Caenorhabditis elegans: one gene and its partner. The protein of the gene in region 1 interacts with the protein of each later gene in a pairwise test. Each region holds a gene or a part of one and is shown in the gene's direction. Other genes may lie near its edges. The genes, in order: vpr-1 and F26E4.2.

Region 1 (6,310 bases):
AATTGATAACATGCTCATTTTTTCAATTCTTCGAATTGCTTTTATTGCTCGTTTCTCTTGAGTTGTTCTGCATGTTGCACTGATTACTGTTCCGAAAGAACCTAAAAATAAGCAATGATTAAAGGATCAATATTTCATTATTTCAAAAATACGCAATCTTCTTTCACCTGCTTGAAAATTCTGATTAGAAGTTTGTTTTCTAGCGTTTTTGCTTTAACTTCAATCTATTTCGTAGCTTATAATAATTTCATATTGCACACAGCTGAAAATTTTCAGCTGGAAACGTACCCTCGCCTATAATATTCTCTTGCAATTGATACTTTCTCTGGAATTTTGCATCGCTAAGCACCGGGCAGTTCTCTTCCCAAATTTTCAGCCGTGACGATTTTATGGACATGAAATTTCAGTCTGAAATAAAGGTTTTACTGTTCAAAACGGAATAATGTTGATTTCCTTCTTTAAAAAAAGACACTAAATAGCGAGAAGTGATTCAGAGAAAAAATAAACGTTGAAATTGAGAAATGCAAAAAATGTGTTTCAAATTTTGCGCCAAAAACAGGCGCGGTGTTTGCGTACGTTACGGCGAAGCTTACGCGCATTGCCACATGCAACATATTTTTAAATTTAGCTTTTTCTTTTGATTTTTTTGGTTTTCCGTTTGAAAATGCTGTAATATCTAGCTGAAAAATATTTATTGAGACGTATTTTGCAAAAATATGTTGCTATTCGTGTACAATACATGTCGAAGCTCCTAAAAAGTGAAATAGATTGTTTTTTGGTGAATAATAGGGATTTTTCACAAATTCGGACTTTTCTTCTCTCTGTACCTTTTCGCCTAGTCTATAACCTGGTTATAAAAATAGTTATTCACTGAGTTTTTTTCGAGTTATTTGAGCTATTTTTGCTCAGCCTGAAACTTCAAGTTTTAATTTTCTAGAAAAGTGCAAATTCCCCAATATTACTTCCATGTGTTTGTGTATATTTCTTCTATTAGCACATTAAAAGAACAAAAATCATTGTGTAAATAACCCCGATTGATTGATAGTTGGAGCCAGTTGTCCTTCTCCCCCTCTTATGTTTCCGATGAGTGTGTGATACGGGAAATATCTGTGTTGTCATGGAGAGTTCTCACATCCGGACGGCAGGAAAACAGAGAAACTAAGTCTAAAGCAGTACCAAGCCGAGGTGCTCTAATTGCGTCTGCACTCTCTCTCTTCCATTCAAATTCGCCGTCCTTTGCACTTTGTTTACGCAGAAGAGGACGTCTTTTTCATTCTAAAAGTCTTCTGTTTCTAGCTTCATCAGATATACATACTGCGACTTGTTAATATTCTTCATATGGATCAAATCTTCCGCTGACGCATAAGGCTATTAACTCAACTTTTTCAATTTCCGTCTCAATCTTTTTCATAAATGAGCTCAAATAATGATTTCAATCAGAGTGAAATTTTAAATATCGAACATTTCTAAACTGCAGCTCTTCTCGTTTTTCAAAAAAAGGTTCAATTGTCTGTTGTTTTGACTTGGAGGTTAATTTATAGGCTCCTGGGGAATACAAAAATTAAGATTTTATTGCATAGAACTGCCTTAGCTTAATCTTCTCTGAGTGCATTTTGCACATTCTACCAGCAAACATCTCATCCTAATTTATTCCATCTTCTTCTCTTATCCCATCGTTTTTTCTTCACGATGCTTGTGTTTTTTCGGTGCCTCTTTCGTCTCCAACAACGTGTTTCTCCTTCTCCAGGACAGCCATTTTCGCTCACACTCGTCCTCCCCTACCAAACGCACACACACACATCGCTCACACGTACACTCACACACTCGAATTATAAGTCAACGAGAGGGAAGAGACGTAGATACACTTTTCCTTCTGCGTCTATTATCTCTTACGCATCTCTCAGGACAACATTTTTTGAAAAACGTGTGCGCTCTCCACGTCTCACCCGAATTCATGTCATCTGACAGCGTTTCAGAATAATTTTTCAATATAATTTGTTATTTTCTCGAATTGGTTCAACCTTTGTTCAATACTGTGCAGTTTTGGACTTATTCGTTGTTAAAATATAGGAAATAATATTATTTTTTTGTTGTGTTTTTCATGTATCGGGTCATCCATCAGTTGCATCTCTACTTTTCTCTCCCCGATTATCAATTGACAAACGTTCAATTACTGGCTGAACAACGTTTTTGATGCCTTTCTGTTTAAATTTTGTTTATGACCTGTGTTGAATACACTCGTCCATATTTTTTTCAAATTTCAAATTCAAGATTATTGAAGACTGTATTTAGAAAGATAGACAAGCATTTGTATAACTTCTACACGATTTCGATTTTTTTTTCGTTTTTCGTTTTGCCAAGAGCAAATACGCTTGCCTCTAGGCACTAAGCACTGGCCAAAACTCAAGAGAAACTGATAACGCTAGAACATACACTGCGACTTTTTCATTTTATAGCTTTTTCGAAATTGCAAATCGAAAAAATATTCGTTTAGTGTTCGGTTTTGTGATGTACGTAAATACCAATAGAAAAAAAACAATTTTTAATTCTTTCGCCTTGATCCAAACTTCCTATCAATCTTTATTTTTTAACATAATTATTTTATATGAACTAACTTTTTTTTTCAGCAAAAAAATGTCTGAAAAGCACAGTCTTCTGCAAGTGACTCCAAATCGTGAACTCGTGTTCACTGGCCCATTCAGTGATGTTGTCACATCACACATGACTCTCAAGAACACATCAACCAATCCAGTGTGCTTCAAAGTGAAAACAACGGCTCCAAAGCAATATTGTGTTCGTCCAAATTCTGGTGAGTGATGGATTTATTTGCATTGAAATCAATTTGATATGGAAAAAGTGAAATTAAACGCAAAAAGAAAAATATGATTTGTATTTAGACCTTATCTGTTAGACTGGTTGATTTTTAAAACTGAAGTTTACTTTGACCTTCTGATTTTGATTTTTTAGGCCTCCTGAAATCTGGTGACTCGAAACAAATCACAGTAATGCTTCAACCTCTGGAAGGAATTCCATCTGATGCAGGACGACATAAGTTTATGGTTCAATCGTGTGTGGCGCCTTCGGAAGATCTGCCAGATTTGGAATCGGTCTGGAAAATAATCGATCCAGCGGAGCTGACCTACAGCAAGCTTATGGTCACCTTCGTTGACAAGAGAGATCCAGCGTCTGGAGATGATACAAAAACCTTTGCGGTTAGGAACGAGGATAGTTTTGCTTCTTCTGGACAGGCACAGTGAGTTTTTACTTATAATGGAGGTTAAAAGAAGGTTAACAATTATTGTTTCCTTCATAAACTTCATTCAATAAAAAACTAATATTTGCAGAGAGCTCGGAAGTTCGTACTCTGGAACACCATCGCATGATGGAACCGTTAACTCCCTTCGCAAATCGTTGAAATCGACAGTTGACGAGAAAGAAGAATTGCAAAAGAAAGTACATGGATTGGAACAAGAAATCGAAGTCATGCTCAAGGTAATATCAGAAAAGAAATTTGAAAAAATTAATTACACTTTGGAAAAAAAAATATGTGTTCAATTTTCTACAAAAAATATTTTCAGAAGAACCGCAAGCTTCAACAATCGCATTCTGATGGAGCTCTTGTCGACGGTGCATACCCAACATTGCAAATTTTCCTTATTGCGGTTGCCGCTTTGCTCATCGGGCTTATTGTTGGCCGTCTTTTCTAAATTCTGAATCAATTCTTCCTTCATTTTCACTTTTAAGTAACTAGTGGTACTATCATTCACGTGCTTTTTTGCTGCCACAAACATTAAAACACACAAGCATTGCTCCATTCGGATTTTCATCAAATTTAACCTTCAAATCCTAAATTTTCTAACTTTTTCTCTGCCAAGGGCGAAATTCTGAATATTTCAAAAATCAAAATGTTATTTTCTGCAATGTAAATTGACATATTTAACTTTTCGGTTTTTTGAAATTTTGAATACTTGCCTCTTTAGTGAACGCAGCGCGCAAAAATTTCAAACTTTTTCTCAAACTACTTTCACTTCTTTCCTTTGTTTATTCGTTTTCCGTTTTTCCCGGCGTCTTCTAGACCATCATAGATCCGTCTAGTGACTGCCTATCATCATACCCGGTAGCCATTATCAAGAATTTTATTTATTTATTTTCCATTCTATGGTTCCCCGTTCCCCCAACCTTTTCTCATTTATTTTATGTGTACAACCATTGATTGATATAGGACTCCATGGATTTTAAGAAAGCCCCATGCTCTTTGAAACAACCAATTTAAGTCACATGATTTGTATATGGTACAATAAAATTTGATGTTTATGGTTTCCAATAACTATTTTTATTTTTGAATTTTTTCGCCGTATTATCTCGGAGTATTTACCTGGAAATTTACGCGACTCGACAATAAAATGTCACTCGAGTGATGTTTAAAATTAATCTTTTTTCAGATTTTCCAAAATGGCTGGTAAAAAAGCAGAAAAAGATGATATGGCAACAGTGGAATTCGAATCTTCTGAAGAAGTAAATGTTATTCCAACATTTGACAAAATGGGTTTGCGAGAAGACCTTCTTCGTGGAATTTATGCCTATGGATTCGAAAAACCATCGGCTATTCAACAAAGAGCAGTTCCAGCAATTCTTAAAGCACGTGACGTCATTGCTCAAGCTCAATCTGGAACCGGAAAGACTGCGACTTTTTCAATTTCCGTTCTTCAATCATTGGATACACAAGTTCGAGAGACACAAGCACTTATTCTTTCTCCAACCAGAGAATTGGCTGTCCAGATTCAAAAAGTATGGATATAATAAATACAGAGTTGCAATAAAAAACACATTTTGCAGGTAGTTCTTGCTCTCGGAGACTATATGAATGTTCAATGTCATGCCTGTATCGGAGGAACAAATCTCGGAGAAGACATTCGCAAATTGGATTACGGTCAACACGTGGTTTCTGGTACTCCAGGACGAGTATTTGATATGATTCGCCGTCGTAATCTTCGTACCCGAGCGATCAAGCTTCTGGTTCTTGACGAAGCCGATGAAATGCTGAATAAAGGTTTCAAGGAGCAGTTGTACGATATCTACCGATATCTTCCACCTGGAGCACAAGTCGTACTTCTGTCAGCCACACTGCCTCATGAAATTCTAGAGATGACCAGTAAATTCATGACAGATCCTATCAGAATTCTTGTGAAACGTGATGAACTGACACTTGAAGGAATCAAGCAATTCTTCGTTGCAGTTGACAGAGAAGAATGGAAGTTCGACACTCTTATTGATCTTTATGATACTCTTACCATCACACAGGCTGTACTATTCTGTAATACCCGTAGAAAGGTTGATTGGTTGACGGATAAAATGAAGGAAGCCAACTTCACAGTGTCATCAATGCACGGAGATATGGAACAGAAGGATCGTGATGAAGTTATGAAAGAGTTCAGAGCAGGAACAACGAGAGTGCTCATTTCAACTGATGTTTGGGCGAGAGGATTAGATGTTCCACAAGTCTCGTTGGTAAGATTTTTTTTTAGTTTCTTCTCGATTTGTAATAAATTAAAATGATTAGTTTTGCAAAAAACCAGCAAAAAAAAGTTGTCATGAAATATAGACAATTCAGTAAAAACTTTTTTCAGGTTATCAACTATGATCTTCCAAACAATCGTGAATTATACATTCATCGTATTGGTCGTTCTGGACGTTTCGGACGCAAGGGAGTCGCCATCAACTTTGTGAAGCAAGATGATGTCAGAATTCTGCGAGACATTGAGCAATACTATTCGACACAAATCGACGAAATGCCCATGAATATTGCGGATATCATTTGAAGAAAGATATATTTTCGCTCACCTCATGTTTTAATTTATTTTGTTTTTGTTTTCTTTGTTTTGAAAATCCTTATCAATTATTTCTTTTATTTTAATCCTACAAAGATCTCCTTTGAATCCTTCATGATACTAAGACCCAAATACTATCCAACGGAGATTTTTAAAAATCTGAACAGTAATTTGAATAAATGGAGATCTTAATTTTCTTTTCAATATTTTTATGTAAGCCAGTAGAAACTTCTCTAATATTCAAAAATATCGGAAAATAACCAATTTCTAATTTTCGGCGTGATATTCACGTGAATTTATACTAACAAAAAAAACATTTCAGAAAAAAATCAACTCTACGAAGGCTTCACGTGGAATATCATTGCATTGTGGGTTTTTAAATATTAAATTTTTCTTTTATTATTTTATGTTTGATTTTTAGGAAGTTTCAGCCTCTTTAAATTGAGAATTACTTACTCAGAGACCACTCGCTTTTTGAACAC
Region 2 (7,634 bases), 3.9 Mb from region 1:
GTGTTCAAAATATGAATGAGATTCTTATAAAGCCGAGAGAACTTCCAGAACATTTTGATGCAAGGGATAAGTGAGTTTAGAAACATACGTTAGAATAAACAATGCAAAACAGGACAAAACAAAACAGGATAGATTCAAAAATCTTCTTATTTTTTGTAATTTTTATTTGATTTTTATTTGAAGAAATATGTTCCATTATCGTACTAAAAAGGACAGGTTTGAAAATTTGCAGCGCACCTCTAATTTTGAAGAGTTTACAAGTATTTAAATTAATAAAAAAAATAAATAGAATTTCTATTCAGATGGGGACCATTGATCCATCCAGTTGCTGATCAAGGTGATTGTGGAAGTAGTTGGTCCGTTTCAACCACTGCAATCTCTTCTGATAGGTACTATCGTCTAATTTTTGGGGCCAAATCTTTATTTTTTTTTCAGACTAGCCATCATATCGGAAGGTAGAATCAACTCAACACTTTCATCTCAACAACTTCTATCATGCAATCAACACAGACAAAAAGGATGTGAAGGTGGATATTTGGATAGAGCATGGTGGTACATTAGGAAATTAGGGTAAATTTGAGAAAATGGAATGGTTTCAATAAGAAATGGTTTTTGTAGAGTCGTCGGAGATCATTGTTATCCATATGTGTCTGGACAAAGCCGAGAACCTGGGCATTGCCTGATTCCAAAGAGAGATTATACGTAAGACTTTTTGAAACATTGAAAATCTTAAATTGTATTCTATAACTTGAAAAAAAAACAATCAATTATGAAGCATTTGAACGTTTTCCCGTGTCAATTGTTTTACGAAAGAAAACATCAAATTTAAAAATAATATCTTTGAAACATATATAAATTACTTTTTAATTTTATCTGCATGTTGAGAAATCTAAAATCCGTCATATTTTCAGAAATCGACAAGGACTTCGGTGTCCAAGTGGATCTCAAGATAGTACCGCTTTTAAAATGACTCCGCCGTACAAAGTGTCAAGTCGTGAGGAAGATATTCAAACTGAACTTATGACAAATGGCCCAGTACAAGCAACTTTTGTAGTTCACGAGGATTTCTTTATGTATGCTGGAGGAGTTTATCAACATTCTGATCTTGCTGCTCAAAAAGGAGCATCTTCCGTTGCAGAGGGATATCATTCGGTTCGAGTTTTGGGGTGAGAACTAACTTTCAATTAGAGTAAAAGACCAAAACAAATTGCAGATGGGGAGTTGATCACTCAACAGGAAAACCAATCAAATACTGGTTGTGTGCCAATTCATGGGGAACTCAGTGGGGAGAAGATGGATATTTCAAAGTTTTAAGAGGAGAGAATCATTGTGAAATTGAAAGCTTTGTTATTGGTGAGTTTAGAAACTATTGAAGTTCACGAGGCTCTACGAACTTTGGCAACTTTCTATCAAATTTTGGAAATCTTCTGAAAAATTTTCTCTCAAGCTTTGGTAACCTCCGGTACAATTTTGGTAATTTTCTGACGACTATTAGAAACTTATAACTTTTTGCAAAATTTTGGAAATTTTCTTCAATCCTGGTAACGTATGAATATTTGCTCAAATGAATTGTTACATTTTGTAAAGGAATTTATCTTCGAACAAATATCAAATTACAGGAGCCTGGGGCAAAGGATCAAAACGACGAAGGCGATTCAAGATGAGAAAACTTCGACGATTCAGGAAGATGTTCAAATAAAAACTGGAGATTACTTTAGATTTGTTTATGTTTCACCTTCTTCCCCGTCCATCTTTCTATAATAATCTCACTGCCATCGCAGGGTTTTCAAATCTCTTTTTTTTTTCTACGCCAATAATTTCCACGCAGAGTTACCTTGACTATTCGCCTAATAAATATCGCTTTTGACACAAAATACTATAATTTTTCAATAACAATTATAATTTTATCACAACTGTATGGGGATGGAAAACCCAAAATCATTGACACCTATTCTCACTAGAAACCACACCCTTCGTGCCCGAGAGAAAGCGAAAAAAAGTAATGAAAAAAGTCGGTGAATCATTCGAGTGGTATTCTATTCACTTTTTTTAGAATTATAAAACGTTTTTCTGATAAAATTAATTAAAAATATAGTTATGGTAAGTATGTTGGGATACTCGAGGTAAAAACTTGAGTGTTTTTGTGGTTTCAGGGAACTTTTTCATGGAAAAAATGTAGACTTTTGAAAGTTTTCTCAATAAAGAAAAAAAACTTTTAGGACGCCTAGAAGGCAGATAGACATTTGTGTGCATTTACAGATGTGAAAAATACGGTGCCAGCATGCGATCGAAAAGTTGTTTTGCAAAAAAAGAGCATGAGTCTTTAAACAGTATTGTACTGCTCTTTGTTTGCCAAGTCCTGTTTTTTTTCTAGTTGTGAAAAATCAGAGAATAGGAAGACCTTTGCGAAAAAATGGAGAACCTGGTACTTTATTTTTTCATCAAAAATAGTTTTACGCAACTGATAATAACTGATAATATATTAGTTCCTTAAGCCCATAGTCATGCAAAGTTCTGCCATATGTTTGTTTTTCAATCAGAATCAGTTGCATGTTTTGGCTAAACAAATTTCGATTGTAGTTGCGTATATACGTGTGTTTGCCCATGTTTCCAATAGTATGTGACCTTAATCACTCAAATTGTTCAGTTAACATTACATAAACAAAAAGAATATCATCTTGTCTACATTGTAGATGCTTTTATTTATATTTTAAAACTTTCTTTGGCTTTCAAAGTTACACAACTAGAGGTGTTATGCAAAGTTGAATATTACTATATTAGTGTTAGATTTCAGGATAGCAGATATATAAGTAGCCAGATTTACCGGAAGCCTGTAATTTAACTTTTAACGAACCATTTAAACTGCGCCAGCTTATCTATATCCTCTGAAAAATAAACAAAAAAGTATATTTGTTTAATTGGTGTTGCATTGAAATAAGTCAGAAATTTTTCACAGAGTTTAGAATAAAAGGACAGATAAGTTTTCTCATAAACTTTCGCGATGAGACCCATCTTAATTAATCTGTGCGCCTTTAATTAAGCGTCTCAAAAATTACGAAATTGCACTACATCAAAACAAAAAAACCAATTCAATTGCGAGTTGATCTATCACATGGTCACCGCCAACATGTAGATCAAATGGTCTTTCCATCAATTAACTATTTTTTTCAATTCTGACTCATTCTACTCGAAACCCCATCTCTCTTACATCTCCACCCAATACCCCCCCCCCCAGTTTTCCGTCGATGACAAATTATCCCCAAAAAATGTTAATTTGATATGACACCGTTTTGGCGGTGTTTAGTGATAACTTGAGGAATGAAGAGACGCCTAGGGAAATGAAGAAAGATCGATTCTTCCGACCCTTTTTCTCTTTTTTCAAGTACCGCCTCCATTTTGTTCATTTTCCTCTTCAATTCCTGCTTTATTGTTATTATTTTCTAAAATTTTCGAGAATCTAATTGTTAATTTATGTTTTAATACAGATGATCAATATCTTCAATTCTCCAATTGATCCATCACAACTTGATGAATTTGCACAAGGAAAACAACAGGAAGATGGTGATGAACAAATTTTCGATGTGGTAAGATATTCTGAAATAATTTTGTCAAGTTATAGAATTCGTTGAGAATAAAATAAGTACGCTGAACATCCTTTGCTTTGGTCAATTTCATTAGATTTAACCACTTGTTCCTGTTTTGTCTGTAAATTTCTGAACATGTGTCTCATGTACATAGACCAAAAAAATTATGTAGTTCAAAAAAGGAAATTCATCAAAATAAATTTTAAGTTCCACTATTTACTTAAATGCGAATGTTTTTATATTTTCAAATATTTTGCCAAAAACTTCTTGAGAATTACTAATTATTCTTCCATTTACATACAACTATCGACTTAACTTACAAGACAAATTATATCTCGTTTCATTTTTAGATATTAAAATATTATTAATTACAAAACTATAGAAGAAGTGATGAAAAACATTTTGTCAGTTGACATTTAAAAAAAGACAACCGACATCTGAGCTGTCAAAGTTCAAAAATTTCTTGCAAGGCTATAATATGGTAAATCATAATTGTATTCATTTCCAATATATCCGATATATCCGATATATCCAGTCTATAAAAAATCATTGCATTTTCACTTTTTTATTTGGAAGTTTTCAAATAATATTTTTTGATATGAAAGAAATGGAATCGCATACTTCCTCTTTAATAAATCGATCGCTTTGTTTATCAGGCATTAATCTTCTAAAGTTACGTCTCACATCTCAAAGATCAACTCATTTTACGTCTATTTTAATACCCTAATTCATGTTTTCAAACGTTCTTCCAAAAAAGTCTTTTTCAAGAGTCTGTCTTGTGCTCTGATATTTGCAAATTGTAAGATATTACAAGATTCCAAGAACTGTGGCAATTCTTTTTTAAATTCAATGATAAGCTTGCAAATCTGAAATAATTTAGACAATGAGTTTACGTCGCCGATTTTTGTAGTTTCTGGTATCAAATTAGTGTTCAAATTAGTATTTTGTGTTCCTCTTCTGGCGTCATTAATCTTACAAATTTGTATCAAACAATCATTCGAAATTATCGTTTTTGTTGTTTGTGTTTAATCCTATGCTTTTGGAAATTTACTGTACAATTTAGCGACTACTTCCATTCTGGGAATTTGAATTTTAGCAAGGAGAAAATTCAAACCCACCGAGGCTCAGTCCGCCTACTCTTGCTCAAAAAAGTGGAAAATTTGTTGAATGAAAACTAGAAAAAAAAACAAAAGTATATGCAAAATCATTTCCAGAAGAAGCGCAAACCACAAGTGACATACAGTGGTGATGGGCGGCGAGTGAGTTTTTGATATTTTTGCTATTAGTCTGAAATATAATTTATCAGATGTTGGATGGTGTTGTCGAAAAACAACATGAATCAAATGCTCTTTGGACAACTGCAATTACAAGAGGAGTTGCAAATGAATGGCGTGAAGAAGCAACTGGTACACGTCTTCAGAAGACAAAGAGATATCGTGAGTTCAATTCAAGTTTTTGAATAATTTCAATCGATTAATTAATATTCAGTAGACGACAACTGCTCTAGAAGGATTTTTAGTTATCATACTATTATACCAATGGGGTTTCTGAAAATTATCTGAATTTTTTTTTGCAATATTCTTTAGTAAATTGTCGAGAATCTATTTATTTTTGTTTCAAGATGGAGTTTGGAAAATAGGGATTTAGTCTTAAAATTCTCGGAATATTCCAATATGTCAGGTAGAGTTTGTGGAGTCAGAAGTCGTTGATTGATCCAAAAGTGTACATGAATTCATATTTTGGAAGAAATTCAAACAGGGAATTAGCGAATTTTTTGAAGTTGGCAATGTACATCTTTCACTGTTTTTATCAGTTTTCTTTTGCGATATTTTAGCATATCGATTCCGAGTACATTAAAACTACCCAATTTCCGAACTCCACCCTTAAAAATATTTTCGAACAATTGAAATATAAAAAACTTTAAAAAATTGAAACTGCACAGGAAATGCACATATTATTTTTTGTGTATTTTCCCTTACCCTCAAGAAAATTCGCCATGTGTACTAAACAAATCAGCCGTATGTTTTCTGTCTTGACAACACCTTAGAGGATTATCTTGTTTTTGTAGATGTAAATGTTAACTAATAATATCAATTGTCCGAAAGAGAGTTTCGATTTAAAAATAAAAATGTCAGAATTTGGATTAAGGATTAAATATAGTTTTCTCCTTTTTTTGTCTATGGAAATGATATTTATCAAGTCAAAAGGAATCAAAGTATAAATAATTCATCGATTCGATTTATCTATTTTTTAAAGTTATAACTTTTGTACTTTTTTCAAAACAAAATCCAACGTAATATAATCGATTTTTTTCAATTAATTATTCTCTTATACATCCGCGTCAAAAATACGGTACGCGGCCTCGACACGACAAATTTTAGTTAAATGCGAAATGTTGTGCGCCTTTAAAGAGTACTGTAATTTCAAACTATGATTGCTTCGGAATTTTCATCGAGTTTTTTTTTAAATTTTTTCTAATTATTTGTTCAAAATTATGCTTTTATTGTTATATTCCATTTTTCTAACTATGCAATTCGGTGAAAATTCAGCAGCAGCAATAGTTTGAAATTACAGTAATCTTTAAAGGCGCGCACATTTTCGCATTTATAAATTTGTCGTGTCGAGACACCAATAATATATTTTTCTAATTTATTTCAGTCTCCAAAGTCACATATGATGCACAAGTACTAGTACGTCAAACATATCGTCGCCATGGAACTGAAATCCTCATCGCCACAAATGTGATACTATTATTATTGTTTTTGTACATTTGTCGACTATTTCCATTCAATAAATGAGTTTTTATGATTGGAAAATAAATATTGCTTACAATTTTATGGGAAAAGGAAGACTTAATGATGAGACACACCCACGGGGATTTAATGATGAAGAAATATGAGGGAAGTAATACAAAAATTTATGTCAAGATTCTTGATTTGAAAGTTTGTAATTTTGTGACAGACAAACGAACAGAGAAAGTGGAGAGAAAATAACTAAAGTCGGAAAAATTTCAAAAATTTTTTGGGCGATTTTTATAGTTTTCAAAATTACAGAATGGAGCTAACAAGGTGAGAATAATACCTTCACACGCTTTCAAACAAGAGGATTAAGTCGTGAAACACATTGTGAATCTAACAGGAGAAATCATCCTAAAAGTGGGAGAGACACGACCCGAATGATTCGGGGTTAAGGATCTACAGTTATCTTTTTAAAAGTGGTGGTGGAAGAGACAAGAAAGAGAACACTGGAGTTGAAGAGTGAGGGAAAAGTATAGAAAACGGGCCACGTAATTCAAGAATGATATGAGAGGATAGAGAGAGGGAGAGAGTAAAGAAAAAGAAGCTATAAGAATAATAAAGTACAACTCTATCTCAAATTGGAAGCAAAAGACAACTTTAACAGTTGAAAAATAGAAACCAACTAAGAGCTTATTCCTGTTTTACTTCAAAAATTTACGATGACGAAGGATTTGAAAGAAAGAAAGCGAGTAACATTGAATACGCGATTAAATGTCTATAAGTCGACATGAGGACTACGAAAACGGGAAAGAAGGGACGGGATTTGAGAAAGAATTGACTCACAAAAATATGGGGAAAATATGAAAAAAAAATTTAGAGTTATATGAATGTGATATTTGAGGATAAATTGAGAAAAAGGGAAAATGATGATTGGGGGAGGACGAAATCCAACAAGTTTACGAAAACAATAATTTAAACATCTGAGAAGATGTAGAGATTGTTAGTGGCAGCAAGAGCAATGATGTTATCCTTTGGATGCCATGCTGTGTGCAATATTTTACGATCAAATTGAAGTTGATCAGATGAAAGATCCTCTTCGGTCTGTAAATTGGGTTTTTGTTGATTTTGAAGTAAGATATGTTTATCATATTTTCACGAGAGTTTAACATGCATTCTTAAAGGTGCACGGATGTATTCAGATGAGTCTTGGCGATCAAGAAAATTTACGGTTGTGCTTTTATTTTATGCGGCTGATTCCTCGTTTATTTTACATTTTCAATAAAATTACGTCGTTTAAAGTGTATTTTTAGCG

Evidence for each region.
Region 2: the proteins of vpr-1 (region 1) and F26E4.2 interact in a two-hybrid assay, tested with the Caenorhabditis elegans proteins (2 studies listed by BioGRID).

Annotation. Positions count from the first base shown.
Region 1 is NC_003279.8:5,866,272-5,872,581, reverse strand, and holds vpr-1 (Major sperm protein), read left to right. Parts: upstream 1-2,627; 5' UTR 2,628-2,634; coding exon 2,635-2,809; intron 2,810-2,967; coding exon 2,968-3,253; intron 3,254-3,344; coding exon 3,345-3,492; intron 3,493-3,578; coding exon 3,579-3,707; 3' UTR 3,708-4,316; downstream 4,317-6,310. Other genes in the region: cdc-7 (non-specific serine/threonine protein kinase), read right to left, coding at 1-101, 289-397; F33D11.10 (RNA helicase), read left to right, coding at 4,453-4,788, 4,837-5,508, 5,628-5,819.
Region 2 is NC_003279.8:9,756,637-9,764,270, reverse strand, and holds F26E4.2 (Tnp_DDE_dom domain-containing protein), read left to right. Parts: upstream 1-3,483; 5' UTR 3,484-3,485; coding exon 3,486-3,584; intron 3,585-4,798; coding exon 4,799-4,843; intron 4,844-4,890; coding exon 4,891-5,020; intron 5,021-6,242; coding exon 6,243-6,382; 3' UTR 6,383-6,417; downstream 6,418-7,634. Other genes in the region: putative peptidase C1-like protein F26E4.3, read left to right, coding at 1-70, 303-389, 436-570, 619-702, 912-1,166, 1,214-1,353, 1,620-1,699; Serine/threonine-protein phosphatase 2A regulatory subunit sur-6, read right to left, coding at 7,295-7,423.